4 linked regions of the Lonchura striata genome follow. The protein of the gene in region 2 purifies or fractionates together with the protein of the main gene of each other region. This does not show direct contact. Links are inferred from orthologs where the notes say so. Each region holds a gene or a part of one and is shown on either strand. Other genes may lie near its edges. The genes, in order: H2AZ1, MBTD1, EPC2 and MRGBP.

Region 1 (7,282 bases), on a different chromosome or scaffold from region 2:
CCCCTGAAATCCACTACTGAGGTTTTTGCTGCATGGCACAATTTAAAAGGCTGCTGCAGTACAGTCCCTGCTTTTGTGGGTGTCTAGCCAAAGCTTTTGCAAGCTGAAACAGTAAGAGGCCAGACCCTAACATGAAATTATGTGAAGCATGGAATTTAAACAGCCCTTGAAACTTATCTTTTACCCTCCTCCGTGACAGACCCTCACCCTCTACAAAGGCTGACACTGATTAAAACTGGCCTTAAATAACATCAGCCTTTTATGTGCCCTGCTAAAGAAAACTTCAGCACATGGCACAGTAGGCTCAATTAGGAAGAATGTAACTTCACAGGACAAAGCCCTGTGCACTTTCACTGCATGGCATTTACTGGCTGCAGTAGTCTTAGGCTGTATTTCAAGATGCCCCAAGCCCAGCAGGAAGGGTTGTCAGTTACTTGCTCTCAGAACAACTTCAAGAGCAGCACAGTGGAGACCAGATTTTCCAGTTAATGAAAGACACAAATCAGTCTTGACATAACATTTATTATTTCCACTCTAGTAGATGAAAAGTCTGTACAAAACCAAACATTTCCTTTACTTAAGCCAATCTAAAAACAGTCAGCTCAATTACAACCCACTACAAACACAATAGCTTCTTTGAAGCCATGGTAACACTTAAATATGGTTAAGACTTCAACGCAGAAATTTGGTTTGTTAGAAAGCTCAAGGGAGCTTTAGCTTCTCAAAGTTAAAAAAAGGCAAAATTGTGTTTCACAGATACAGTCCACTGGAATCACCAACACTGGACAAATTAAGTACTTTGAGTCCTGAGATAACAAGGAATCCTGGTATGCTTTAGACAGTCTTCTGTTGTCCTTTCTTGCCAATGAGAGACTTGTGGATGTGTGGTATTACACCTAAAAAAGAACAACAGTTAAGACCATGCTGTTTTTCTTCAATTTTCCTAAACTTCACACTTCCAATAAAATGACAACACTAATGAACTTCAAGTCTGTGAGAGTTCATGCCACCCAAGCACCCATAAACAGCAAGTATTGACATACCACCACCAGCAATTGTTGCCTTGATCAGAGAATCAAGCTCTTCATCTCCTCTAATGGCAAGCTGCAGGTGACGGGGAGTGATACGTTTCACCTTCAAGTCTTTGGATGCATTTCCTGCCAGCTCAAGGACCTGAGACAAGACCATTTTTCAACAGTTATACAATCAAGTGAGACCAACAGCACAGTCTTAGCTATTCAATTCTCTCGTCCAAATACAGTGTCACTGCCATTAACACCAAAACAGAAAACAATGTCTCTTTTCAAGGGGTTCCTCCTTTGGAGCTTCACATTTAGTTTTCCCAATGACAGAGTAAGTCTTCTACAGCAGATAAGACATGCTGTAATGGTCCATTTTAAAAGTTATTTCACACACTGCATTTTTCCTACAAGGCAAGCTGCAGGGCTTGCATGAAATATAGAGGAGTTACTTTTCATGGTCTTTTGCTTTTTGAGACACTTTAGAAGTGCTTCAAAGCACACAAAGAGTTCGCAACCCAGTCCAAAATGTCAAATACAGTAGGCACTGGTTGTTGTGCCTTCTGGGGATTGATCAATTTGCTTGCACCCCTTGCAAGCATTTTACCTCAGCTGTCAGGTACTCCAGGATTGCAGCACTATACACAGCAGCTGTGGCTCCTACACGCCCATGGCTAGTTGTCCTAGACTTCAGGTGCCTATGGATGCGGCCAACAGGGAACTGGAAAATAATGGAAGTATGAACAGGCTGTGACGACAGAAAGGCTCTGCACAAAACCCCATTGTGGGCAGCAGAATCCCAGTGGCAGAAGCACAGGCTGCATTTCAAACCTTGAGAATACAGTTAAGACACTGCATGCCGAACTCACATAAGCAACTTTCATGATTCTCAGCACAAACATAGCAATGGCCACAAGGGAATTACTTTCCTCCCTGCACAGATATGCAACGGTCTAAAACCAGCTGGGTGTGCTGATGTCTGCTTTACAATCCTTATATCATTCCAGGCAACAGCCAGACAGCAGAGTGTGAAGGTTTCACACTGCACAAACAAACCAACAGATGAAGGCCAGCCTGACTTTCACTCACCCACACTTCAGCCCCTGCTCACCTGCAATCCAGCCCGCTGGGAACGGGACACTGCTTTGGTCTTGGTCTTCCCAGAGTCCTTCCCGGCTTTCCCACCAGCCTAGCAATGCCAAGAGGAGAGCAGACGCTGACGTCCCCCACCGCGCATGCGCCCCGCCCCTCCACCACCCCCCCTCCCGGCGCAGTCACCCGCGCGGCCGCGAGGCGCGTGCGCGCCGCTTGCCGCACCGCGCGGCACAGGCCGCTCCCCGCGCGCATGCGCGGCCACCGCTCCCCCGTCCCCGGGGCGCCACTGCGCGTGCGACCACCCCCTCGCCCCCCAGCCGCCCCCGCCCTCCCCCCACTGCGCCCGCGCGGTTTACCCCCCCACCATCAGCGGCACGGAGCCGCCCCGGCCCCAGCACCGCCGCCCACCCCCAGAGCGACCCCCGCGGTTCCTCACCATAGCGAACCGGAGCGCAGTGCCGCGCAGGGGAAGGCTGAAGCAGAGAGCGTCCCGCACGCACCGAGCCCGGCCGACAGCACCAAGCTGACTCGACCCGCCGCGATTCAAACTGCGCCCACTCCCGCCTTCCCCCGGCCCTTTATATCCGCACCGCGCGGCCACATCCGGGAACTCCGGCCTCGCCGCCAGCCAATGGCGGCGGACGGGGCGGCCGCTCTGCCCCAGCGACAACCAATGGCGTGCCGGGGCGGGGCCGGCCGCGCGAGGCGGGGAGCGGAGAAGCCCCGCCCTCACGGGCCGGTGCGAGGCGGGGCGTGGCGGCGGGGCGCGCTCCGTCGGGGCTCCCGCCGTGTGCGGGCTTCCTTCGCCTCGGCGGCGGCCCCCCCTTCTGAGGTTGGGTCTCCCTGGGGTGACCGGCGGCACAGACCCTGCCCGGAGTCACTCCACTCATTTTCGCGGGGTTCTGTATCGCCAGGTCCCGCTGTACTCGGGTCGCTCCAGAGCCGCCGCACTGCCGGCGAAGCTTTCTCTCCACAGTGGAGTTAATTGGCTTTGTGTGCAGAGCGCCTCAGGAGCAGCCCGAAGGACACTGTCCCGCGTTTGGGATGAGGAGCTATTACACTGCCGAGGACACGAGGCTGCTCAGGGGCGTCGAATAAAGCTCGCATGAACTCCTCAAGATTCCGGGCTGGAGAAGTGCCAACCACTACACATGTGCACTGATTTTTATTTTTACCCCTATTATAAGCAGGGGATGCACCAATACCTAGGACCACCCAGCCTCAGACACCCTTGTGTCACCGGATATTTCACAAACTACAGTTAAAAGCAGTTTATCATTAATTATGTTCAAAGTGTAACAATTAATGCAGTGCAAATTTCCTCACCTTGGGCACTTCAAAATCCCTGCCTGTGTTTCCTTAAATGAAGCCTTAACCCATTTGGGTTTTTTTTTGGGTTGCCATTTTCAGTATATTGCCATTTAACCTCAGAGCTCAGCTGATGCTGTTTTTGGTTAATCCTATATTTTCAGCTTCAAAAAAGTAACAATTCACTGTGCTCTTCCAGAACACTGTAAATCTGTATTATCTGAGAGATTTACTGTTCATCTGTGAGCATGCAGTGAGCTCAGAGAGAGACCTCGGCCTTCAGATGGCTGAGCAGCTCTTTAGAGAGAAGACGAGATAGATCAGTCATGCAGTTTACCAACCTGATCACAAACCCACCACTTTGGGTTTGTAGTTTGTATTTCCTCTGCCTTGATATTGAAGGGTCCTGAGCACAATGAATACTCTTACAGCCAGACATTTAATGGGACGTAGAGCTGAGGGCATAAAGTTCTCATGAGAATTCTCTCTACACCATAACTTTTCCCCTTTATTCAGGTCTACAGCAACCAAAGTACTCAGAGCTCTAAGACAGGATATGTCCTGATCCCTAGAGCTTCACTTAAAGGTCTTTCAAGCTGTTCACACAAGTAGAAAAGATTTAAAACTTTGTGGCTCTTATTCTCCCACATCTGACTGCAAATACTTGGTGCCCTGGCTATAAAGGACCCTTTGCTTGAATCTCTACACAGCCTAAGGCCACATCATCAATTACTTCACCACCCTGTTTCGGGCATCTAATCCCAGCTGCTATCATCTCTGGGTGGGGAGACCTACTTCCAGGCACATTCACAGAGAGGCAGGACTGAATTGAGAGCAGACACTCCTACATGCAGGGATCTAGCAGTTTGTTTTTATGTAACTGTCTGGTGCTTCTGTCTATTTGAATCATCAGTTGTTTATACTCTCCTTCCGCAAGAAAAAAAGATAAGAGGGTTTGAAGGATTTTGAGGGGAGAGTTGGTTTAAAAACAAACCTCAAGGTTTTACAAAAGCCTGCAGAACTTAAGATTTCATTCAGCATGCTGTTTAAAAACTATTTGTGTTGAAAATCAAGGATCCATGTGCCCTTTACCATGCAGGAAAAGAGAACTAAGTTGCAGGCCATCATACCCTTGTGGAACACCATTCAAGATGTAGGAAGAAACAAAAAAATTATTTTTCTCTTTGGTTTCTGTCCACACAAGTCCTAGGAAGAGGAAGAAGGTCTCCTATCAGATAGAGACAACCCCTGCCACAGACATTCCCTGTTTCACACATGAACTTTCCACACAGCTCACTTTGGCTGCTTTGGAGCTCCTTACAGCTGGGATTACCAGGCAAGGCAGCCTAGCACCAAAGATAAACCAAAGCAAGGATATATATTTACCACACAGATCAGGCTAGGGATGGGTCAGGTAGAGTACATGAAACCAGCCTCAGATCGCCTCATGCTGGCTAGCAAGATACTCTCACGAGCACAACCTGAACTCCCCTCTCTGCTATTTAAAGAGATAAACTGAAACAAACTTAGGTACACAGGAACAATCCCAAAGCAACTTCAGACCCAGCTGTGAGTGCAAATAACTCAACCTCAATCCCACATGCACAAAAGGAGCCAAAGGGAGTACTCACCAGCTCCATGTTCCTAATGATATTTATAATATTTGTACTGAAAGCCTATCTCCAAGGGTCTTCCCTTTGAAGGCCACAGTGGTGAATGTTTGCATCATTTACCCAGCACTTGTGCCCCAGCTTTTTTACTGTGAAGTTTTTTCCGGTGCTTCTCATTGCTGATGTTGTGTGGGCACTGCAGTGCTGTCTGTGCTGGGCAGGCTGTGCCTGAGCTGCTTTTGCTGCAGGATCACACACGGCCCAGCATTCAGGCTGCTGCTGCCTTGTTCAACCACCTGCCTGGGTTTTCAGAACTTTAGAATTGGAGTATAGTGTTGTTTTCTTTTCTATTCTGCCTACTACTTGGTATTATTTCCTTATTATTTCAAATTGCCTCAAAAACATAAACAAATTCTCTAAAGCGGGTACTACTTCTCAGCCCTCTCTAAGTACTGGGCTATGGACATGATAATATTTGGACTTTCTTGAATTCATTTTTTGCAGAATTTTAATTTCTGCAGAAGTGGTGGAGATCATCTTTAGTGGGCTGATGAAGCATTCCCAGAAATCTCTTTGTACCACAGCCTTCAGAACTTTACAGTTTCTGGATCCTGCATAAGTTTAAGTGGGAGATACATGTCAAGGTGCTCAGCTCTGCCATGGTATTCCCAGGATACAAATCTGGATATCTGTGGAACTTCAAAAGCTAGGCAGAGAGCATTTAAGAAATTAATTTTTTAGGTGACAGCTAAGCAGTTAAGTTTTTAGTACACAGTTTTTAGTCAGAGGTTTTAGTATGCTAAACTTTGAACCAACTCCCCTTAGGTGAGTAATATAGTTCGTAAGGGATTATTTTTAGACACCACTTAAATTATTCAGGCTCTAGTTTTTGTGGTGAGATTAATTCCTGTATGACTTGTATTTGCCCCTGTTATTATTTGTCAAATAGCAGGTTTGTGCTCAGTTGGGTCTCCTCGCTGGCTGCTGTATTTAGGTTCAGGAAAATCCCACCCTCTGTGCCAGCACTGTTGTATTGTTTGTAGTGATAATGGATTCGATTGTTCAGCTTCACATATATAGATATAGCTATTTATCTGTTATCTCTAAACAGCTTCACACATTGTAGGAATGAGATTGGTGTGAGATATGTGGTGAAGGGATTACCATGGGCCTGCTGGCCTGCCGTTGGGGGGATAGGTTATTTTATCTGTAGATTGTAGGTGATTCTAATCACTGCAATCCAGCTGGAAGAGGGAGTAACACTTAGGTGTCACAGTCCTGTTCTGCCCCTGCTTAAGACATACAGCATTTGTAATCTCTCTTTTTATAGCTCTCTTTATTCCTCATTTAGGTATAAAGGGTCTACCCCTCCCCTTTGTGATAGCAGCTAACAGAATATTTGACTACATTCTCACTTCCACTTCTCCAAAAAATGTGATTTGGTATTTGAAATCCTCCATGGCAGAGTTTGAAAATACTATTACCTTGCAGACAAGTCCAAGAGTTTACTCCTCTCTCCTTCCCGAAATTTGGGATACCTCTTTTGTAAAATTTGCACCTCTAGAACATACCTGGAAGTACTTGTACATAGTACTATATATTTATATTTTGCACATCTAATGAATCCATAGTTGCCAATCTGTAAGAATTACAGTCTGTTGTTCCACAACTGTTTGTGAGCCTGTATTTGTGTGAGTTCTTCTGAACCCAGCCAGACTTAGAGTGTTTCATTGGTAAGTTGATTTGTGAATCTCTGGTTGTGAATGAGACCCACTGTATTGGTGCCTGTGGGATCTTATTGAATGCAGCTGGGCTTACAGTGCTGAATTGGTTATAATAAAAAAATTAAACCTAACTGCACCTAGCGCCTCTGAGGACCAACTGGAAAGCAGGAGGGTTTCTTTTCCGATAAATTTCTATACTTGTAACAAAATACAAGTCTCTGTAATAGTTCTGCAGATAACACTTGTGTACTGATTTCAGGAAGACTTGAATTACCCCTATAGCCACACTATAGGGTGTTAATGGTACACCTTTCTGTTTGCTATTAATAATGTCGTAATGACTAAACTGTATTAATATTTTTGTTCTTGTTTAGCCAGCTCTGAAAGGAAACTACAGCTAGTTAGGCAAGGTGAAATAAGATGGTGACAGCCAGAACTCCTTAACCTCATCCTTCCCATTGTCTTACACAGAAATTTATCCTTCAACACTCTCTTTTTGCTGTGTGCTTTGCTTCCTCTTATCTGT
Region 2 (7,793 bases):
AAAAGAACATAGCTAAGGAAACTGGTTTCCCTGAAAGCAGGAAGGCAACTCTAAACAAATCAGAAAATAACCAGTTTCTCACTCTAAATATACACTTTAATATACATATATATACACACACACTGAATTTGATCAACACATTATAGCATACATTCTTTGAGTTTAGTAACTATTCTTACAACACAAAAAATGGGCACAAAGAGTGAGCAATCCATGGCAAAACCAGAAACCATTTCATCTTATTTAGACATCAAACACTTACTTAGGAAATGGCTTTAGTGTCTTGATGAAGACTATACTCAAGCATTGGCAAAATTTATGCAAAAGAGTTTTGAAGGTAAGAACTTGCACAAACAACACCCCATTGTTGTGTAACCAAACCTATTGCCCCCGGGTAAGTGCAGCTGGCCACAGGAGGAAGATCCAAAACAGCAACAGAAAGGTTTCAAATCACTCCAAATGGTTATTGCTACTTTTAAATTCAACCTGGGGTTTGAACTCAGAATGGCAGCAATTTGGAGCTTGGAGTACAAGAGCTGTAGCTCAGCAAAGGTACCCCAGCACTTGAACAGAGGCATCACTTCCCATATTCAGCTCCAACCCTCTCAAATGGGACAGAACTATGGACAGATGGGTCAACAAGGTCAACAATGAGGTCACCACAACCTTCAAGCCAAGGGTCTGGCATAAAACAAATTTACTTTAATCACATATCCTTAATGGATCCAAGGGTATTTCCAAGTTAAATTTGATGCACAGGTTTTGTTTCTAATAGTTCATTGATGCTTTATGCTACAAACTTACTTTCAGGTTTGGATGTTAAGGAAACACCACAACAGAATTAATTTATTTTGAATTTATCTCTTTTGAATGCAAGTTGGCCAAAATAATTTACAGTAGAATAGTAGCTTGTCCCTGTGGAACTGAGTTGTGTTCTGAGGCCTAATTGTGCCTCAGAAAATAACCAAAAAAAGAAAATTCAAACATGGTACCAATTTAAAGAAAACACACTTTCAGCTTTCATTAAAAACAAACAAAGACCCCAAAACTAAACATCTTGGGATTCTTGGAAATCAGAACCAACCAAACTTACTTTTTTTATATAAGCAACTCACCTCTATCTGGAAATGTGCCTTCCACTCTTATTATAAGTAAAATCTCTGCTGGAAAATTACAGAAATGTTTTTTCCTGTCTCTTCATTTGCTATGTATGACAGCATTTTGTCTGAAGCCAGTTTCTGCTGTTTGTCAATGGTTTTGTCCATAGCCTCTTCCCCAGGGGGTTTCACACAAGAGGGGAGACTCTTTCATAAAAAAATATATCACATTAGCAGGAAATTTTGGAGGGGGGGTGTGATGATTAATCTGTGAAATATCTGAGTTTTGATAAAACTAAAAATCTGTTACAAACTCTTTTATATTTCTACAAAGCCCTTACAGGAGTATCAGGAAGAGGCAAATATTTCACTTTAAACACTGTGTTACCATTAAAACAAACAAACAAAACCCCAAATGAAACAAACAAATTTAAATATAAAGAACCCCAAAACCACCACCAACCCAAAACCAAAGTCTTCAACACCTGAATTCATTCCACGTGCTCAGAGCCAGGCTCAGCAAAGGATCCCACATCCCCAGTATGTATACCAACTTACCTGAGAAATGAAGGAATGCAGCAGTGGTTTGCAGGAGATATGAAAAGCCTTGCAAAATTAAATCAAATTTTAGAAGGTAAGAGAAATGAAAGCTAAAGAGAAGGAACTTTTGTGCATATTACCACTGCTGCCAAAGGCACCTTGTTCTTTAGGGAACAGCAAAGAGAATTCTTACTTTCAGTTTGCAATCTTTCTGCATGTGCACAAGTCCAAATATTCTCAAAAACAACACTCAAACTGTTTTTGGGAGACAAGATCCCTCTGCATAGTTTCCTACAGCCCACATTACACACTTCTAAAGACAATTAACCTACCAAGTTTTATTGCCTTCTTAACAGAATATATAATTTTAGTTCTCATTGAAGGCTCCAGATTAGACTCTCATAGCCTTAATCCATTCCATTTAAGTCAAAAGCAAACTGTTGAATACAATTAATAGGTAAATGCAGGTCCTCAAACCTGCAAAATAATTTTAATTTTAAATACAAGAGATTGCCCTGCAGCTTTCAGTTTTGACTAGGTTTAGATTTGAAAAATCACAACAGTTGCCAGTCACATTTTAAAATAAATTGCTTTTTCACACACAGAATTTATCACTATGATCAGCATAAGATTTGTAGCAGGACTTCTAATTTTCAAAGCCACGCTGGGCAGAAATTGCTACACTTTCAAACATTTCCAGCAACAACCTGAAAGCGAAACTGGTTTCACGAGTTTACTACTCCTCGCAAAAATAACAAAATCACAACATCAGAAGACACAAAAATCGCACGGAGAGGGGAGGAAGTGGCCGCAAAGAATCCAAAAGTTTTGAAGTGCTGATAAAAAAGAAAACTCTCAAGCACTTATCGTGACCACGCTGAAGAACTTTAAAAGGCTGAAACAGCAGGAGGAAGTTACTGAAACCCGGCACGACAGCGGAGCAGGGGGAGAAGCAGCTGGAGCTGAAAGTTTTCTCGGAGGCAGGAGAGGGGCGAGGGACAAAACCGGAGCCCGCAACAAAGGGGCAGAGCCGGGCCGGTGCCACGTGCCCGGGCGGACCCCGCCGCGGCTCCCGGGACGGGACCCTCGGCGGGCCCGGCGGGCACGGCCCCGGCAGCCCCGCACCCCGGCGGGGCCCGGCCCCGCACCGCGCCCCGCGGGCGGCCCCGGCCCCCTCCCGCACGGGCACCGCGGATCGCTCAGCTCCCGCCCCCGCCGCGCTCCTCCCGGCCCCCGCGCCGCCTCCCGCGCGGCCCGCGGGCTCCGGTACTCACCAGCTCCTTTGTGCTTTCCATCAGGCCCTCATGGGCAGGAGCCGCCCGCTGCCTCCGCGCGCGGGCGGCGGCGGGCGGGGCGCGGCGGGGGGGCGCGGCGGGGGCCGGGCCCGGCGGGGCGGGGACGGGCCGGGCGGTTCGGCCGCTGCGAGCGCCGCGGGCCGAGCGGGGCCGAGCGGGACCGGCGGCGGCCGCCGGTACATCAACAACACGAGCGCGCGGCTGCGCAGGCGCGGACACGCCCCCGCCGCCGTCGGGCTGCGCGGAGCGGCCCCGCTGCCATATTCCTCCCCCCACGCTGGGCGAGACCATTCCTTACCGGAGGTGGGCGCTCCGCGCCAAGGCAGGGACTGCGGGGTGTAAGAGCAGCCGTGTCTGGCAGAGAGAGGCGATGCGCAGGGGAGGTGCCGGTGGAAGGCCAGGAGCAGCCGGTGAGGGACGCCTGTTGCCTCCCGGGTGGGGGATTCCCCCCCGCGGGTTCGCAGTGGTGCGGCCCAGGGTGGGCGGGAGCTGAGGGCGAAGGGAGGGGAGGAAAGGAGTCACGTGACCGCGGGTCGCCGCTGGGGGCGGGCTCGGTCACATGGGGGGGGTGTTGGCGTCCTAAGCCAATCGCGGGCGGGGGCTGGGGATCACGTGATCGAGCGCACGTGTTCCGGTTCCGGGTGTGGCGCGCCATGCGCGGGCGGGCGGCGGCAGCGCCCGGGAGAGCGCCCGGGATGAAGGCGGCCAAGAAAACGTCTAAAGGCGCCAGAGCGGCTAAAGCCGCGAAACCGAAGCGGGCGGCGAAGCAGCTGCGGGCCGTGGCGAATCAGGCCGCGGGTACCGAGGCAGCACGGCGCGCCCGGCACCTGAAGGCGCTGAGCCGCGCGTCGGGCGCCGAGCGGGAGCTGGAGGAGCTGGTGTTCGGCGGCAGCCTCCCTGAGGAGGAGGACGAGCTGCTGCGGCGCCTGGCCGGGCCCCGACGGGTACGGCACAGCCGAGAGCCTGCTCGCTGCCCGGGCTCCGGGCCCTGCCACTGTCACACGGTCCCTTTGGTTGGTTTCAGGTTGCTGCTGCAGAGGGGAAGGGCCTCCAGGATGACTCTAGCGATTCGAGGGTGAAGAAAAAAGCGAAACGCGGGTTACTGCTCAAAAATCCCGCCTGGGTGGATGAGGATGACGAAGCTGAGGAAATGTAAGTTCAGGTTAGGTGATGGGAATTGTGTATTACACTTGGGAGTGCTTGTAAGCGGCCTTGGTTTGAACGGTGTTTGTGTTCTGTTGGTTTTTCTCCTCTAGTGTTGATATGACCCATAAATACAGGAAAGATTTAATGAAAAGTGATGCCGAGACAACGCTTACTAAGAAGAAACTAAAGAAAAGACTTGAGGAACAGTGAGTTTCATTAATGTTTTTGTGGCTGTCTGTATTGATCTCATGATCATTGCTCTCCAAGTTGGGTGCCAGAAGGATGTTGCCAGATTCTTCAGTGGCACTTTGAGCAGGACAAGGGGCAGTGACCATGAACTAAAACACAAAAAGTTCCATCACAACATGAAGAAGAATTTTTTTCCATTGAGGTTGACAGAGCACTGGAGCAGCTGCCCAGGGAGGCTGTGGAGTCTCCCTTGGAAACATCCCAAACACACCTGGACATGTTCCCACCTGCTCCAGGTGACCCTGCTGTAGTGAGGGGTTGGACTGGATGGTCTCCCTTCCAAGCCAACAATTTTGTAAGCTAAAATATATTTATGTGACATTCATAGTCACTTTACTCTTTATCCACTGTGCTTATGTGGTCTCTTTAAAGTCAGGGCTTCCTGCAGTATTTGTAGTGTTACTAAATAACAAATGATACCAAAAATAGTAAATTAAATGTGCGTTAGCATTGTCTGGATTAAGTTGTTTAATACTTATATCAAAGTGCCCAAACTAATTTGTTTTCTAGGGAATTATGCAAGAAACAATGAAATTTTAATTTTTTTTTTTTAGGAAATTAAAAAACTTGCATTGTGTTCTAAGTACAAGTAGTCCTGCAAAATTCTGACTGTGCTTCTTCTAAATACTTAACTCATAGAAGGAAATTACTGTCTCACAAAAGTTATGGTTTTTTTTCTCTTTCTCCTTTTCTCATAAGGTTTCAGAATGCCATGGGAGGAGTTCCTGCCTGGGCTGATCTAGAAAACAGGAAGAAATCCAAAAGGACTTTGAGTGATAGTAAATATTCCCAATGCTATTCTGATAAGAGTTTCTGTGATTCCCTATTCAGCTTGCTAGAAGATAATTACTTTTGATGTCCTCTTAGTTTCAGTGGTGTAATAACATGCTGGCTATGTCAGCTTTGTTCCTTCAATGTGCTTTAATTCATTTCAGTGAGGAATGTGTTGATTTTGCTGTGGGTGTTTGTGCAATTAGCTGATTCCACGTGCTTTGGTTTAATGAGGTGACACTGATGAAGATGATGATCTGCTACGCAGGACTGGCAATTTCATAACCAGCTCAGAGTCTCTGCCAAGAGGGATTTTGAAGGTAAAGACAAACCTTATCCTGCCACTTCAGCTGGATTAAATGCACACTTTGACTCTTGTGGTGTATAAAATTAGTGATTCTTTGAATTTGTTTCTGCAACTAGAAGCTTTAGAGGATAAGCAAATTGAACAATTCACATGAGAGTATGAAACAATAAACTGAGGTGTGTTGTTTGACATAAGAATTTTCTGCACTCTAAATAGCATCTTGTAGTAGGATTTTAATTTCTGCAGAAGGATGGAATTCTCCTACAGCATTGAAGTGACTGATAAGATCTTTAAGAAGACAGCCTTAAATGAGTATTTCTCACACTGTCTCCTGCAGCTATCTCAGATGAGTCAGAATGCAGCTGGTTTTATATTCAGTTTTAATGCAGATAGAAAGGTTGGTGAATATAGAAAGGTTGGTGAATTCAGCCTGTATTATATTGGAGCAGCTCCCTGAATGGGCTGTGTGTGCTCTGCTCACATCACACTGCCCAGAACTTCATCACAGGGCTTGAGGTCTTGTAAGCGCAAAGAGTAAATGGCTTTTTATTCAGCATGAGTGATTGTTGGTGGTTTTTTTAACTGTCTGATCTGTGTTGTAGATGAGCACCTGCCCTCCTGCAAACCAGGAACGTTTTGCCAATGGAAAACTGGTGACAGTGCAGTTTCATCCTTCAGCTCAAGTGGTGATGGCAGCTGGGCATGATCGCTCTGTGTCCCTCTTCCAGGTGAAAGCTTCAGTTTGTACCTGCTGATGGTCACTAACATAGAACCTTTTCTTTGAGTGTACATGAAATAGCCTGGAATGGTAGACTTTGTTTTCTGTCTTCCTCTGCACACTGTCAGGGCTTACATAATGTCTGTGGTTACAATGGAAATTCCTTGGTTAAAGGCATCTTGGAAGGAATTTCCACCAGTGACTTCACACCAAGCATGTGCAGAGTACTGGCAAACACTTTGTCTCAGAGTTTTTAGGCAAAGATTTGTGTTTAAAAATGTTTGAAGGTTTGCAAATGACAAGTGCTAATGAGGATTTTTGTTGCTAAGTGGTTTGGAGAGCCTGTAGTGGGGGGAGCAGCCCACTTTGCTTTGAGACTGTAAAATTGCTATGAAATCATGTTGGGGATGGAGAGACTGTGCTGCAGGAAGATGTTCATCCAGAGACACTGCCAGGCTCCTCTGAAAACTAAAGATCCTAATTTAATTTAGGAATTCTTAGCATGGCCCAGGGTCACTGGAATGGTCAGACAAGTGGAATGTGATAGTCTCACAGAGCCACAAGAAAACCCAAATCAAAGCAGATGTTTCCATTTAGAAAAAGCACAGTAGAAGTGATTATTTGAACAAAGCAAGAAGTGTGAGGTCTATCAGAGAGGCAGAGTTACATCAGATAAGGAGCTAAGAACCAGATTATTTGTAGGAGAGGGGAAGAGTTTAAGGCTTCACAGTGGTGTACCTCTTATTACTTAAGTCTCAACTGAGAAGTTGATAATGATTTTTCTCTATAAAAGTGTTTGATATATTCCTCAATATAACAACCTGGTTTGTTACTTTCTTTTTTGAAGGTGGATGGTATAAGGAACCCAAAAATACAGAGCATCTATTTAGAGAGTTTTCCAATTTATAAGGCTCGTTTCAGTGTGGATGGAGAACAAGTTATAGCCACTGGTACTCACCACAGAATGTTCTTTGTGTATGACATGATGGCTGGGAGTATCATCCCTGTCCCAAAAGTACGAGGTATGTTTTGCAGCTCTGAGTGTCTGGGCACAGTTGAAGCTGTCTGAAATAGAGATGGCACATGAATTTGCTTTAAAACAATGTAGAGTGGCTTGTTGGAGGTTTTATTTTTAACTTATCTTCAAGGAAATAAAGTACCTTTAGTGTTAATTGTCTGGGATATTAATTATCACACACAAGCAAGGTTGAGTTCAGCTTCTCTGTGACAGCATATTGCAGAAATTAAGAGCTGGAATCAGGTCTTATTCATATTCATCCTATCTCTAAATATTGAGGCCAAAGAATAAATTGCACCAATTTCAAGTTTCAAATCTCTTTTTAAAGGTGTGGAGGAAAAATTCCTCAGAAACTTCGAACTCTCTCCAGATGGATCATTTATGCTGCTAATTGGAACTTCAGGGTACCTTCACTTGCTGTCCATGAAGGTACTTTCTCTGCATGGTCTGTGTAGCTTTGCTTCCTTGGTGCCTTTTCCCTTTTGAATCTGCTTTTATTTCATCTGCAAAGCAATCTAACTTTCAGCTGAAGCCAAAGTATGACACATACTGTAACAGCCCTCAAAAATGTGCTGTGGAATCAACCCACTGCAGCTTTAGGGAATTATTTTGGACTCTCTGAGACTTTATTTCACAGCTCCATGGGGCTGGT
Region 3 (7,475 bases), on a different chromosome or scaffold from region 2:
AATCTTGCCTGGCTGATGCATCTCGCACTATGTTTATGTATTGCTTCAGTCGTTTCATTTTGAGACTATTACATAATATATCAAACACAGCCACATGTCAGGGCTGAGAAAACAAACCTCACTCACACAGAAAAACAACTTTTTAGGACAACACTCAGGTAGTTTTATTGAAGTAGAAATCTAATCTTCCCAATCATTTAAGAAGCCCATAAGCAGCTTGTTTGCTTGAACTCTTAGAGCAATTTTCCATTAACAACTTTATTTTAAACATGATTTATCAAAATAACAGCAAATTTAAAGAATTAATTTAAATATTAAATGCAACTTTTGAGGCTGAGAAAACCAAATTAGTCTCCAATACTGCTTCATTAGAACCCCAGTGCTGTTCCTTTTAACTACAATCCAGCTTCTAGCAGCATTACTCTCGGGGAATTCCTGAGGTTTTGATCACAATGTGAACACAGTAAATTAAAAAATAAAAGCTCACCATAATACGACAAAGGATTGCTTTTAATACCAACAGTCAGGTGAGAAAAAGCAACGAGGAAAGCATGGAGCCTCCTTTGACAGCTGTAACCTCGGAAAAGCCAATCCACAGGCACAGAGGTTTGGCCGAGGCGGAGACACGGATTCATTGAGGAAATTCTGGAGGGTGCATTTACTATCGGCTCTGCAAGTACAGACACATCAGGCGACAGCCTCTGTCTGAGCTTACACAACTCCCAGGAGCAGAAAATAAACCTTACTCTTACAGAAAAGTGTTTGAAGATCAGCAGGACAAAGCAGCACATTCAGAGGACACCAGAACTGCGGGCAAGCGTTCTCAAAGCTGTCCTGCTGCTCACCAAAACCGCCAGAAACTTATGTTTACCTCAGCGCACAAAAGCTTTGCCACCCTTTAACACTACGAGCAGAACACACATCACACGTCCAGGCTGAACACCGGCCAGGTGATTTGGAAATAACATTAAAGCTCCAACGCTTCACGCAACGCCTCTGCCGAGAGATGCACTGCGAGCAGCAGCACAAACCATCGGTGTTAAATAACTCCGAGCAGCACCGGGGGTGGCTGCAGGAACGCAGACACTGTCCCACAGCGGGAGCCAAAGCTGCTGTGTGCCCTCGGCCCCACATGTGCACAGTGTGTGTGTGTGTGCCCTCAGCCCCACATGTGCACAGTGTGTGTGTCCTCAGCCCCACATGTGCACAGTGTGTGTGCCCTCAGCCCCACATGTGCACACTGTGTGTGTGTGTATGTGTCCTCAGCCCCACATGTGCACCGTGTGTGTGTCCTCAGCCCCACATGTGCACACTGTGTGTGTGTGTGTCCTCAGCCCCAAATGTGCAGTGTGTGTGCCCTCAGCCCCACATGTGCACACTGTGTGTGTGTGTATGTGTCCTCAGCCCCACATGTGCACCGTGTGTGTGTCCTCAGCCCCACATGTGCACCGTGTGTGTGTCCTCAGCCCCACATGTGCACCGTGTGTGTGTGTGTGTGTGTCCTCAGCCCCACATGTGCACTGTGTGTGTCCTCAGCCCCACATGTGCAGTGTGTGTGTGTGTGTGTCCTCAGCCCCACATGTGCACTGTGTGTGTGTGTGCCCTCAGCCCCACATGTGCACAGTGTGTGTGTGCCCAGAGCCCCACATGTGCAGTGTGTGTGTGCCCAGAGCCCCACATGTGCAGTGTGTGTGTGCCCTCAGCCCCACATGTGCAATGTGTGTGTGTGTGTGTGTGCCCTCAGCCCCACATATGCACAGTGTGTGTGTGTGTGTGCCCAGAGCCCCACATGTGCACTGTGTGTGTGCCCTCAGCCCACATGTGCAGTGTGTGTGTGTGTGTGTGTGCCCAGAGCCCCACATGTGCAGTGTGTGTGTGTGTGCCCTCAGCCCCACATGTGCACAGTGTGTGTGTGTGTGTGTGCCCAGAGCCCCACAAGTGCACACAGTGTATGTGCAGTGTGTGTGCCCTCAGCCCCACATGTGTACTGTGTGTGTGCCCTCAGCCCCACATGTGCAGTGTGTGTGTGTGTGTCCTCAGCCCCACATGTGCAGTGTGTGTGTGCCCTCAGCCCCACATGTGCACAGCGTCTGCACCAAGCGCGGGCACTGACAGCAGCCCAAACCCCACACGGAGCTGCCGCCGGGCTCGGGCACACCCGGCCGGAGCAGAGGGACAGCGGGCAAAGGCAGGAGCCGGCCCGGAGCCGCTCGTTCCCTGCGGAGCGGCTCAGCACAGCACCCAGCACTTTCACACCGCCGCCACCGCCTCCCCGGCTCCAGCCCGAGCGACTTGACAGCCGCTCACAACAGCGCCGGCAGCAGTAGTATCAGCTTCAGTCCACAACGCGCCGAGCACCCCGAGCCGCTCCGCCCGGCCGGCATCCCGAGCCCGCTGCAGACGCCCGGCATCCGCAGCCGCTCCGGCACCCCGCGCACCCCGCGCCGGCAGCCCGGCTCCGGCGCTCCGCTCCGGCGCTCCGAGCTGACACCCCGCGCTGACACCCCGAGCCGGCTCCGGCGCGCCGCACGCTCGGCGCTCTGCCATCCCGCGCCCCGCCGGGCAGCCCGCCCCGGCCCGGCCCGGCCCGTCCCGCCGAGCCCCCCCGCTCACCCGCGCCCGGGACGCGCAGCAGAAGATGGCGGACGGCGGCAGGGCCCGCTCGCGGCGCCGGACCGCGGCTTACGCTGCGCCGTTTGCGCAGCGCCCCGAGCGCCCCGCGGCGGAGCGAGCGTAGCGCGCTTGGTGAATACCGGCGGCCGGTTCCCCGTGCGGGGGGTGCCTGTAAACAATGGTGCCCCCCCTTGCGCCGCGCTCCCTTACCGATTCTTCCTCCTTCTCCATCCCCGTGGGCATCTGCGGCACGGCCCGGTTGATGGAGACGCAGTCGTTGAGGTCGGGCATGTCCTTGCCGCGGTAGATGGGCAGCGGTTTGGCGGCGTCTAGCGCCCGGGCGCGGAAGGAGAGTTTGCTCATTGTCTCCCCCTCACAATAACACCCCGGGGCCGGGCGGGCGGGGGGGGGGGGGGGGGGGGCCTTCAGTGCGGCCTCGCCGCCGCCTCCCAGCCGCTCCCGCGCCGCGCCCGCGCCACCATGGAGAGTCCCGCCGCCCCGGCGCAGCTCCCGGCGGGGCCGCCCGTAGCCCGCAGCGCACGCCCCGCAGCCCTAGATCCGCGCCGGGCTCGCTCGGTCCGCTCCCTGCGCCATGGCAAACATGGCGGACATTAACCACAGCCGCTCGGCCCTCCCGGCAGCCCGCGCGGCGGGAGCGGCGCTGCGCGCGCAGCCGAGGGCGGGAGGCTGAGGGAGCCTCGGGAGCCTGAGGGGGGCGGCGGGACCGGGCGGCAGCGGAGCGCGCCGGGCGTCCCGGCGAGGAGCCGCGCTGTCCCCGCGCTGTCCCCGCGCTGTCCCCGCGCTGTCCCTGCAGCCTCCGCTGGGTCCCGCTGTCTCCCTGCCGTGCCCCCGCGGTGTCCCCACAGTGTCTCCGCTGTCTCTCCGCAGTATTCCCGTGTTGTCCCAACAGTCTCTTCCCAGTGTGTCCCCACATGATCCCCACATGATCCCCTCTGTCTCCTCATAGTGTCGCCACAAAGCCCCACACAGTTTCCCACATTGTCTCTGCCGCGTCCCCAAAGTGTCCCTATAGTGTCCCCCCTTTATCCCCCACAGTGTCCCCACAGTGTCCCCCCTTTATCCCCCACTGTGTCCCACATTGTCCCTGCCATGTCCCCATAGTGTCCCCCCGTATCCCCCACTGTGTCCTATATGGTCCCTGCTGTGTCCCCATAGTGTCCCTGTAGTGTCCCCCCTCTATCCTCCACAGTGTCCCCATTGTGTCCCACATTGTCCCTGCCATGTCCCCATAGTGTCCCTATAGTGTCCCCCCTCTATCCCCCACAGTGTCCCCCCTGTATCCCCCACTGTGTCCCACATTGTCCCTGAGTGTCCCCATTGTGTCCCCCCTCTATCCCCCACAGTGTCCCACATTGTCCCTGCCATGTCCCCATAGTGTCCCCCTGTATCCCCCACTGTGTCCTATATGGTCCCTGCTGTGTCCCCATAGTGTCCCTATAGTGTCCCCCCTCTATCCTCCACAGTGTCCCCATTGTGTCCCACATTGTCCCTGCCATGTCCCCATAGTGTCCCTATAGTGTCCCCCCTCTATCCCCCACAGTGTCCCCCCTCTATCCCCCACTGTGTCCCACATTGTCCCTGCCATGTCCCCATAGTGTCCCCCCTCTATCCCCCACAGTGTCCCACACTGTCCCTGCCATGTCCCCACAGTGTCCCCCCTGTATCCCCCACAGTGTCCCACATTGTCCCTGCCATGTCCCCACAGTGTCTCCCTTGTATCCCCCACTGTGGCCCACATTGTCCCTGAGTGTCCCCACAGTGTCCCCCCTGTATCCCCCACTGTGGCCCACATTGTCCCTGCCATGTCCCCATAGTGTCCCCCCTGTATCCCCCACTGTGTCCCTGCCATGTCCCCACAGTGTCCCCCCTGTATCCCCCACTGTGTCCCACATTGTCCCTGCCATGTCCCCATACTGTCCCCCCTGTATCCCCCACAGTGTCCCCACATTGTCCCTGCCATGTCCCCACAGTGTCCCCCCTGTATCCCCCACATTGTCCCTGCGTGTCCCCATAGTGTCCCCCCTGTATCCCCCACTGTGTCCCTGCCATGTCCCCACAGTGTCCCCCCTGTATCCCCCACTGTGGCCCACATTGTCCCTGCGTGTCCCCATAATGTCCTCCCTGTATCCCCCACAGTGTCCCCACATTGTCCCTGCGTGTCCCCATAGTGTCCCCCCTGTATCCCCCACTGTGTCCCTGCCATGTCCCCACAGTGTCCCCCCTGTATCCCCCACTGTGGCCCACATTGTCCCTGAGTGTCCCCATAATGTCCTCCCTGTATCCCCCACAGTGTCCCCACATTGTCCCTGCGTGTCCCCATAGTGTCCCCCCTGTATCCCCCACTGTGTCCCTGCCGTGTCCCCATAGTGTCACCACTGCTTGCCCTGCAGCATCCACACCGTGTCTGCACAATGTTCCTGTTGTGTCCCCACAGTGTCCTTACAGTATCTGTATGTCTCCCCAGTGTCCCCACAGTGTCCCCACTCTCTGCACAAACCAGCAGGTTTGTCTCCTCAGCGTGTTGGTCAATGTGGACTTAAAGAGTTCCAGCCATGAAGATGTCAGGAGGGTTGACACAAAACAACACTTCAGAAATAAACTTGTGCTTGTGCAATTTTATATTTTTTTCCAGAGAATCACAGAATATTTAGGGTTGGAAGGGACCTCTGGGAGCCATCCAGTGCAGCCAGGGTCACCTGGAGTAGGTGGGTTTGGAATGACTCTGGAGACACCACACTCTCCCTGGGAACCTGTTCCCATCCTCTGCCACCCTCATGGAAAATTATTCCTCATGCTGAGGTGGAACTCCTCGTGTTTTAGTTTACTAAACTCCTTCATCACTTTTTCCATCAATAACAATGTTCTACAACTTGGAACTGAGTAACCCCATATTCTTACCTGGGCAGAGCCTCAGTCCTCTACCCACCCAGAGCTTCCTCTGGAATGCATGAGTTGACATTAGTCTGCAAAACCCTTCATCAAAGACCCTTAGTACCTCAAATACCTCCACACTTCCATTTAATTTTGACACCCAGAGACCAAGCAGCTGCTTCTCTCACCTCCACCTTAGAGCTCTCACAGAAGTTGTCAATATTACCTTCTGAAACAAACTGAAACTCTTACTCAAAACTTCACTGTTTGCATCACTGTGCCAACTGTACCTAATTTCCATTTTTTTTAAATTCGAGAAAAAATTGGTTCAGTCTCTGAATTGCCTTTTATTTTTAGTTACCTGTTGTGTTTTTTATTTACATGGTTCTGTATAGCAAATACAACTGCTGTTTGTGACAAACACATGATTTACAAAATGAAGACTAAAGAATTGTGTCAACTAGAGAGAGAGAGAGAAGGAGGATGAAACAAGCACAGGAATACACAGGAGGGAAACAGAAAACAGAAGGAGCAAGAACATTGTGTTCATCAGCCACAGACACAAATTAGCTTGGGAAAGAGATCTGGAAATTATATTAACTACTGCTATGAAAGCATCAGGTAAGAGTCCAGTCATGTGAGAACACGAAGCTTTAAAAGCATGAGAAAAGGAACAGAGAATCAAACTGTGATAGGCTGCACTTATTTATAATTCCCTTAGAGTAGTTTTATTTCATAAGAAAGGCAATCCTTGCCTTGGATTAGAATTAACAGGTAAATATTTAAATTTGATATAGTTTAGCTTGGACTTTATAATTCAGCACCATTTTAGAAGCAGCCAAACTTCCTACACCCAAAATGGGTTTGGTGCCCCTGAAGCAAGTGGGGCTGAGCTGGCAGCAGAGGAGGGCTGGCATTTCAGGGGTGATTTCTGTGTTTTCCACCTGGGTGCCAGCAGCTGGGAGTTGTGAGCCCTGCTGCACAGGTGACATCCCTGGGAGAGGAGCAGGCAGCTCCTCCTCAAGCACTTCCAAAAGACACCACGACTTTCCTCTTTCTGCTTCTGCAAGGAACAGGCATTTTACACACTGCTGGAAGACTTTTCCCCCTTTCAGTCAGCACAGCTGAACAATAGATAATAACAACCTTTTCCCTTTGTGTGGTGTTCTGCTCTTTTTCACTACTTACATTTAAAAAAAATGCAAAAATGAAACATATTTACCCTCCAGGTGGCTCTTAGTCCTAAACTCATCCCATTATTTTATTTCTACAAGCAATGCAATTTTTTTTTTAATGATGCCCTGTAGGGTACAGAAGGAGTTTTTTATGTAGTCAAAAAAGCCATTGCACAGAGCTGAACATGGGCAGAACTAAAGTTTCAGCTTGCATTAGTTCAGCTTTAAGCCAGAACCATCCATCTTTTAAGCACATAATCTGATCTCTTCCTCTTGTAAAATATTATAGGTTTTCTGAAGAATTGTAGCTGTAAAAATATTAGGAGCTGTAACTCACCTGTAGATAAAATAATTTACTTTTCATGCACAAATCAAGGAAACAATGTCTCAAACAAAATTACTTGTTCAATAGCTGAATTCTGACTCATCTTCATGGAGATAATGGAATTGAATATGCAATTTGAACATTGGATTGACCAAAAATCCACTAATTTTATTTAAATATATATATCAGTGGAAATGTCAGAGCTGTATAGGCTCGAGGGCTTCATCACATCCTTGCTTTTGGTTCTGCTTCTCCATAGTGACACTTAACACAAGGAATCCTTGTTCTCACTGTAGCTGCCTAAAGCCTGGGATATTTCTACAGATTTTTTGCAGATTTATCCTGTTTATTTCTTGGTTTTTGTATGTTTTTTTTTTCTTAACACTTCATATCTCGCTGCATTAATCTTCTCCAAGCAGAAGCATCACTTTTGGATTATCTCATTATTATTGTAATGATTATTGTAATCA
Region 4 (7,242 bases), on a different chromosome or scaffold from region 2:
CAGTGATATAAATATGATGAAATTATATAGTTAGCAGTTGGCTTGGTCTGTTAAGATAAATAGCAGGATCTCTACTGTTCACATTTGACTTGTTCTACAGCGAAGTGTTAGGAAAACAAGCCTTTTATTTAAAAGCAGCAAGATAATGAGAATAAAATAAAATAAGCATTCTGCCCACCTTCCCATTTCAGCACGCAATTTTACAATCTCTTTTGATTTATAGGCCCTATTTCCCCCATGACTACAAAGTTCCAAACACAGAGCATTTAAGTTCAAAAAAATCAGACTCAGCTTTCTTCCAGAGATCCTCAGATTCCTTCAGACTCCCAGGGGTTTGTCAAGTACATATTAAAGCAAAAAATCTCCAAAGCTATACAACTTTGTACAGATGAATTAGGAGCAAAAAAAGAAATCTTTTCAATAAGCAGCTGCTTACTCTGTGCACTATTAGTCAAGTTCTTAGCAGGAGCACAGGCTAAGTCTGAGTACAAATCACACAGTACACTGCATTTGGATTTACATTTTAACATTAATTTCTCAATTACAGTTGGTTTTTAATCTCGTATTACACAGTAGAGAGTTACAAAATTACCTTCTTCAGGACCTGCATGCGTTTCCATCTCTTCTTTTAAAACTTCCTCTTTCACTTCTTCTTCCATCATTACTTTTCCTACAGAAAGGATTGTTAGCATTAGTTAGATGGTTTTAAAGAACCACGTGAATTTTTTCTGGATTAGTAGCCTCTGCATATTTGTATGTTTGCAAATAGTCCATGCAACGCTCAGCAATAATTCAGTGCCAGGAAATTATTATTAACATGAGAAAGTGAAATGCTGCATGGGCAAAACATATTGCAATGTCTTATCTGTGCTAAGATTTTTCACTGAATTTTTAAAGTTTAATGTACCTCATAATTGAGAAGCATTCCACTGAAGTTTAAAATATCCCAAGAAGTCTTTGGCAGGTGCTTGAATTTTCTAGTTCTTACTTTGTATAACACACATCAGCTAAATTTCAAAATCCTTCTCTCGCTGTTCAACCTGAGATTTCTGTCAAACTCCTGTACATTTCTATTAGATTTGACAATACATGTTTTCTGGGGGGAATTTTGTTAAAAATTCTGAGATGAGAATAAAGCAACCAAGAATCAGAGCCTGCAATCACATCTCACCTTCTCTCACTTCTTGAATCATTTCGTCAGGAAGAGCAAAATTCTTCTCTATATTAGGGAATGGAAGAATCTCAGATTCATGCTTAGAAAGAAAAGAAGGATCTCTGTGAGTGACTGGTAAAGACTTTAATTTGAATTTTGACATGCAATCTCAAGTTCTATTTTACATGCAATTAGGAGCTATATAATTTTTAACAAGACACTTCAGATGTTAGAAAATCAGGAGGCTTCTAATATCAAACTGATTACTGAGGTCAGGATACCTAAGATCACAACTCACCATCATCTGAGATCATTTTTGGAACTCAAACATAGCAAATTCTTATGTACACAATGATAACATTCTCCTTTGACACTTATAAATGTATATCAACATTTTCTGGATCAGAATTTAGGTGACTTTAATAAACAAAGTCAGAACATGGTATCAAAAAAAAACCCAAAAAAAGCCACTGCAGGCTTTATTGTCTCCTACCTAATCTACTTTTATTCAGGGAAAACCCGATCAACTCACTGGAATGACACCTAATTCTAAGTACCATGACAGGCCCAGTGATTCTGGCCTGGCAAAACTTCTGAACTCCATGAAACCATGTGGCAGCACCAACCCTATATACTCACAAGAGCCTGCATATCATACATGGTGCTCAGATGGTCCCAGATCACTTTGGATGAGATCTGCCGTCCGATATTCTGGCTGAATTTATCCCGGATGCAAATCATGTGGAAATGGCGATTCACACCTGGGGGGAAGAACCCAGTGCAATTAACGCTGCTAACAGTTTTAGTTATGATACTTAGAGATATAAAGAGATTTATTTATTTACTTATGAATTAAAAAAGCTATGTTGTTACAAGGAATCCATACATTAACAGGAGAGACAGCTGGCAGCGGGGTTGGCTGATCTTTCACCCTACACTGCAGGTGCTGTTCTCTAGGGAGCTGCGGGTGCCCCTGTGGCTAATTCTAACACACACAGAGTTTTTAGAGGGGCTGTGTGAGAAACATCCCAAGGGATGTATAGGGAGTGCTGTGCCCAGTTCTGGGCTCCTGACTGCAATACAGACACAGAGCTCCTGGTGTGGCTGCACTGAGAGAAGGAATTGGAGCATCCCTCTGACAATGAAAAGGAGAGAAAGCTGGGTCTGTTCAGTCTCAGAAGAGATGTCTAAGAGGGGATCTCAAACAATGTTTATGAATTATTGTTTCTGAAAAGGGGGGTGCCAAGAGGATGGATCCAGGCTCTGCTCAGTGGTGCAGAGCAATAGGACATAAAGCAACGGGCACAAACTGATGCACAGGAAGCTCCACCTGCATACAGGCAAGAACCTCATTACTGCGAGCACTGGAACACACTGCCCAGAGCGGCTGCGGAGCCTCCCTCGCTGGATTTATCGCAGGCCGGCCGGCACACGGCGCTGCGCCGCGTGCTCTGCGGTGACCCTGCCGAGCCGGGCCCGCGCCGCCCGGCCCGCTCCGAGCCGCCGTGGAGGCGCAGCGCGGCCGCTCGCACGCCGGCCCGGCCGGGCCCGCCGCTCCCTCCCGCCGGCCCCGCGGCCCGGCCCGGCCGCCCGGAGCCCGCGCCCGGCCCCGCCGCTCCCGGAGGCCGCGGCCCGCGCTCACCTACGGGCTTGTGGCCCAGCATGGCGTGGAACAGGCACACCTCCACCTCCGGGCTCCACACCACCGCCGCCTCCTCCGCCGGCGCGCCGGGCTCCGGGCCGGCCGCCGCCGCCGCCGCGGCCGCAACAGCGGCAGCGACCGCCGCGGCCGCCCCGGGCCCGGCCGCGGGCAGCGGCGGCTTCTCCACGGCGGCGGCCGAGCCGCCCTCCGCCTCGCTCATCCCCGCCGCGCCGCGCCCGCAGCGGCTCCTGCCGGCCGGGAGCCGGGCTCGGCCGCGCCGGGGCCGGGCTGGGGGCGGGGGAGCTTCGGCGGGGCCCCGCAGGTTCGGGGGGGCTCCGCCGGACGGGGAGCCCCGCGCTCGCAGCGCCGGAGCCCGCGGGCGGGCAGCACCGGGCGGGCAGCGGCGGTGGGCGGCCCTGAGGAGCGGCGAGCCCGCGGCTCTGCCCGGCAGGAGGCTCGCGGGGTTCTGGGAGCAGCGTTAGGGAGCGCTGGGAAGGGCCTGAGGGAGCGCGCTGCTGTGTCAGGCCGCGCTGCAGTGCCCGTGGGCTCCGCAGGGCTCGGCTCTGCGTTCTGAGAGCCCTGCGGCTGGGCTGGCGGTCAGCCCGGCTGCCTCGGCCACCCCAGGGCTTCCCCTCCTGGTCTGTGAGGTCTTGGCCAGCTCAGCATCTATCCCCATGGCCTGTCCTTGTCTGGCACGAGGAGCTGCCACGGTGAAGGATGTCCCAAGCACTGCAACCCCCCTGACTGCTCCTTGACACAACAGGATCGTTTTATATCAAATACCAACCTGGCGCTGATGCTTAACAAATAACTGTGCCTGGCTTGGTTACAAAATGCAGAACCTACCAGCTTTGCCCATCTTTTAAGATGTAAAAAAAAAAAAAAATGTTTGGGAAGAAAGGGAACGTATTACTCCCTCGGCGATAAAGGGTTTTTGCCTTGTTAAGTATAATTAGACACACAAGCATGAAATAGGACTGCTGTTGCTTAGGTGATAGGGCTTTCCAACTGCTCACTCCTCACTTGAAGATTTAATCCATTTTGTGACATTAAAAATATTTCAACAGCAAATAACGATCGCGTCATATGCAAGGAATGAGTGTTCTGAGTGAATAATAAAGCAGTGGGGGCAAACACTCACAAGCAGAGATATTATTTTCATGCAAATTATCCAAATAATAAAAAGCAGGAAGGGAAATATGCAATTTTCTGTAATTGAACTTTCTGTACCTGTTCATACCCAAAGAGCTGACTCGTATCATTGTTTTGGGCTTGATGTAGTTAATACCCCACACAGGTTAATCTAACATTAAATAAACATTTGAAATAAATTAAGCCCAGAACCTCATGTGTGAAGCCTTGAGAAGTTTTGTTGTGTGAATCCTGGATGTGGATGCCTGGATACAAATCCTCTTTTCCAGTGGGGTTTATTCTGGCCTCTTGGAATGGAAAGGATTCTGTGACTCCAGTCTGGCTTTGATGCTGTTGAAGTTCTCCAGGAACAGCTTTCTCTGAGAGCTCCAGAGTGAGCAGAGATCTTGCTGGAACAACTTCTCTGCATCAAGACCACAGGAATCTCAGGATTATTCCTTCTGCCTGCTGTCACTGCTGTACCTGTGTCCTGGCTGTGCTGGGTCTGCCTTCACACAGCTCAGGCTTCACACCGATTTCCTCGTTTTGAACCAAAATTACCTATCCACAGGACTTTGCAAATCTCAAAGACAGCTCCTCATGTTTTTGCAGTTAAACCCAGCCCTAAATCTCAGCCCTGTTTAATCTTCCAGTTTTTATTTGATCTACACTGCTGCCTGGTCTTCAGCTGCTACTGAGAGAAAGGCTTATGATTTCCTGTGATGGTTGCACAGCAGGAGGAAATGATCTCCTGCACAACTAAATCCCTGTTTTCATACATGTTTCTGTATGAGGGGAGAAAGGAAAGCAAATTTTCAGAGTGTAAAAATTGTTCCCCAGTAGAACAGTTTTCAAAGTTTTGCAGGCATAACTTATTTTTAAGCCTGTGTGAGACACTGAGTTTCAGCACTCATCTGTCACATTATGCTCCTACTTAAAGACATCAAGAGGGAATAAGTGTGTCAACTCAGACAGCAATTTTTATGTCACTAACTTCTGATGGCTAAAAAAAGTAACATGAAACAGAGTATGAAAAAACTGATGCCTACCTCTGAAAATAAAACAGCATCTGAAAACAATTCAATTCAGTACAATAATATTAGTGCAACAGGAGCAGTATGTGCACAAACTGGCTGCTATTTTGTTTCAATCAGAAATAATTTCTGTGTGTCTAAATTCCCTTGTCACATTCAATGCCTCTAGGAAACATATGGGAGCCTATAATAATGCTACGTACAGCCTCCACCTGGATCTTGACCAGAGTTTATTTTTTTCCCTCATTAAATTTGACTAGGTTGGGGTTTTTTTGTGGGTTTTTTTTGTTTTTTTTTTGGTTTGGGTTTTTTTTTGTGTGTGTGTTTGGTTTTTTTTCCCAGTCAGTTAACAGATTTTTCAGAAAAAATTGCACTTCTCCCATTCAACTTTAAATTCTACTTTTGGGTTTAAGCAGATAAGGGCTGTGTAAGAAGTGCATGATTTTATTTCTTCCTTTTTCTCCCTACTCTTTAGGTTGCTTAAAAAACCTGGCTGGTTGTTGTGTCACCTAAGGGTGCTGAGCCCTTGGCTGGATCAGTGTTTCCCCCACCAGAAGATGATCAGTAATTTCCTAAGACTTTGCAACAACTGAGAAATCTGCCTGGCATTTGGCATTCTCCCTAGAAGTGTTGGATTTCTGGGATAAGCAATATGGCTACAACTATTTCTGTCGTTATTTTAGAACACCATGTGCTAGTGCCCTTAACAAAGCAAAAATTTAATTCCAAATCCTGTAACTTTTGGTGTGCCTCATGAACATTTGTAAAAGAGTATCATCTGCCTACTTTTGCATTAAACCAAATCTTTTAACCTTTTCTGGGGGTGGTTTAGAACTTCTTGAATAGAGAGTCTAACAGGTTTTTTCTTACACAGGTAAGAAGTACATGCAGAAGTACATTTTTCTGGAGCTTCTTCCTGCAACAAATTCCTCTCAGATCCATAAGTCCTCCTACAAAATAAGTAACCTCCATACCTTGGCACATTCCAGTATTTCTGAATAAAATACCCTTTATGACTGAGGAGGACCTCCTGAAGAGAGAGTTCTGATGAGATTTGTAAGCTTTAGCTGTACTTTCAGAATCCATTTTTTTTTTAAGTGTGAAATCTGTGGGAAAATTTGCTTTAACAGAGCTGCCCAGGGAATTGTCCAAAACTTGGAGCTTGTTTATTTTACATATCATTTAATAAATCAGTGAAGATAGTTTGATATGGGGATGGTTTTCTCCCTATTAGAAGATAAAGCAGTCTGTTGTTAGAGTCTTATCACAAAGCCCCTTAGAGCAGCATTGCCTCTTCCAGATAATTACCTTTTTTCTTTGCTTAAAGGTGTATTAGATTATATTAAACAAGGACATTGAATGGAAAATTCACTCTCAAGATCTGCTCTGCACGGCTTCTTACAGGTGCAAAAGAGGGAATTTAAATCACAATGAGGGTGAAGCAGCAAGGCTGAGGGCAGCAGCTGTCAAACAGGGGATCCACTCTGCTCCAACATATGTTCCCAAACTGAATTTTTCCCTTGTGATCATTTGTGCTCGTTCTCCCAGCGGAGAGAAGCTTCATATTAGGTGGGCATCAGATGGCAAACGTTGGCAAAGTAGATGAAAACAGTGCAAATAATTATCTCTGAGCATGCACAGAGGCGTTTGTTACTGCTGCTGTTGTGCTTTAAAATATCCCAGCACAGAGGGGATTGGAGAAGGAAAAGCCATTTACTGATTTTTCAGTTTGATAAATCCATCATACCCCAGGCTTACAGAGAGGCAGAAAGACGAACCAGTGGATTTATAATGAACAAGCTCAAGGTTCAATTGAACATTGAGCACAAGGATCAATTCCTGAATCCTTGGCTAGCCCAAGCCTACATCAGAGTATGTTTTACTGAAGGTGATTTTTACTGATTGTACCTGCCAGCAAACTAAAGTCCCATTAGCCCAGCTGGTCCGGACAGATCCAGAAGGAATTCCCTTCCTTGACAGTTTCAACATTTGATTAGGCTTGTTCAGCTCATCCTTTCTTCTCAGGGGCATTTAATTTTAATTTTTTTTAACTACAACTATTAATTTGTAAAATAACAAAGAGGCAGCATGGGCAGAGAGGATCTGCAGAGGGGAAGCAGAGGAGCAGTAACCCTGCCTAGCTGGCACTGGAACCGCAGCCACACTCACTGTCGCTGTGGCGGTGGGTGGCAGCAGATTTTCATGGAGCACGTCTGCTCCTTTAAACACGCACAGAACCACTCAGGGGTCTGGGAGATCCTCTTAGAACCCTTTTTTTTTTT

Evidence for each region.
Region 1: the proteins of MBTD1 (region 2) and H2AZ1 purify together in Homo sapiens (affinity purification with mass spectrometry; 3 studies listed by BioGRID and IntAct, with this or other methods). This does not show direct contact. The link is inferred for Lonchura striata from reciprocal best matches to the Homo sapiens genes MBTD1 and H2AZ1.
Region 3: the proteins of MBTD1 (region 2) and EPC2 purify together in Homo sapiens (affinity purification with mass spectrometry; 3 studies listed by BioGRID and IntAct, with this or other methods). This does not show direct contact. The link is inferred for Lonchura striata from reciprocal best matches to the Homo sapiens genes MBTD1 and EPC2.
Region 4: the proteins of MBTD1 (region 2) and MRGBP purify together in Homo sapiens (affinity purification with mass spectrometry; 4 studies listed by BioGRID and IntAct, counting the BioPlex papers as one, with this or other methods). This does not show direct contact. The link is inferred for Lonchura striata from reciprocal best matches to the Homo sapiens genes MBTD1 and MRGBP.

What each region holds. Positions count from the first base shown.
Region 1 is NC_134606.1:49,664,625-49,671,906, reverse strand, and holds H2AZ1 (histone H2A.Z), read right to left. Parts: upstream 2,665-7,282; 5' UTR 2,554-2,664; coding exon 2,551-2,553; intron 2,209-2,550; coding exon 2,131-2,208; intron 1,741-2,130; coding exon 1,627-1,740; intron 1,174-1,626; coding exon 1,044-1,173; intron 897-1,043; coding exon 835-896; 3' UTR 503-834; downstream 1-502. UniProt on the Homo sapiens protein: Variant histone H2A which replaces conventional H2A in a subset of nucleosomes. Nucleosomes wrap and compact DNA into chromatin, limiting DNA accessibility to the cellular machineries which require DNA as a template.
Region 2 is NC_134621.1:6,273,510-6,281,302, forward strand, and holds the start of MBTD1 (MBT domain-containing protein 1), read right to left. Parts: upstream 3,001-7,793; 5' UTR 2,933-3,000; coding exon 2,912-2,932; intron 2,684-2,911; exon of another isoform or gene 1,116-2,683; intron 1,094-1,115; exon of another isoform or gene 1-1,093. Other genes in the region: UTP18 (U3 small nucleolar RNA-associated protein 18 homolog), read left to right, coding at 3,586-3,876, 3,957-4,084, 4,189-4,284, 5,027-5,106, 5,333-5,418, 6,008-6,133, 6,971-7,145, 7,470-7,570. UniProt on the Homo sapiens protein: Chromatin reader component of the NuA4 histone acetyltransferase complex, a multiprotein complex involved in transcriptional activation of select genes principally by acetylation of nucleosomal histones H4 and H2A.
Region 3 is NC_134610.1:2,339,096-2,346,570, forward strand, and holds the start of EPC2 (enhancer of polycomb homolog 2), read right to left. Parts: upstream 3,015-7,475; 5' UTR 2,977-3,014; coding exon 2,824-2,976; intron 2,703-2,823; exon of another isoform or gene 2,614-2,702; intron 1-2,613. UniProt on the Homo sapiens protein: May play a role in transcription or DNA repair.
Region 4 is NC_134619.1:5,558,996-5,566,237, reverse strand, and holds the start of MRGBP (MRG/MORF4L-binding protein), read right to left. Parts: upstream 3,016-7,242; coding exon 2,796-3,015; intron 1,915-2,795; coding exon 1,793-1,914; intron 1,254-1,792; coding exon 1,172-1,253; intron 671-1,171; coding exon 593-670; intron 1-592.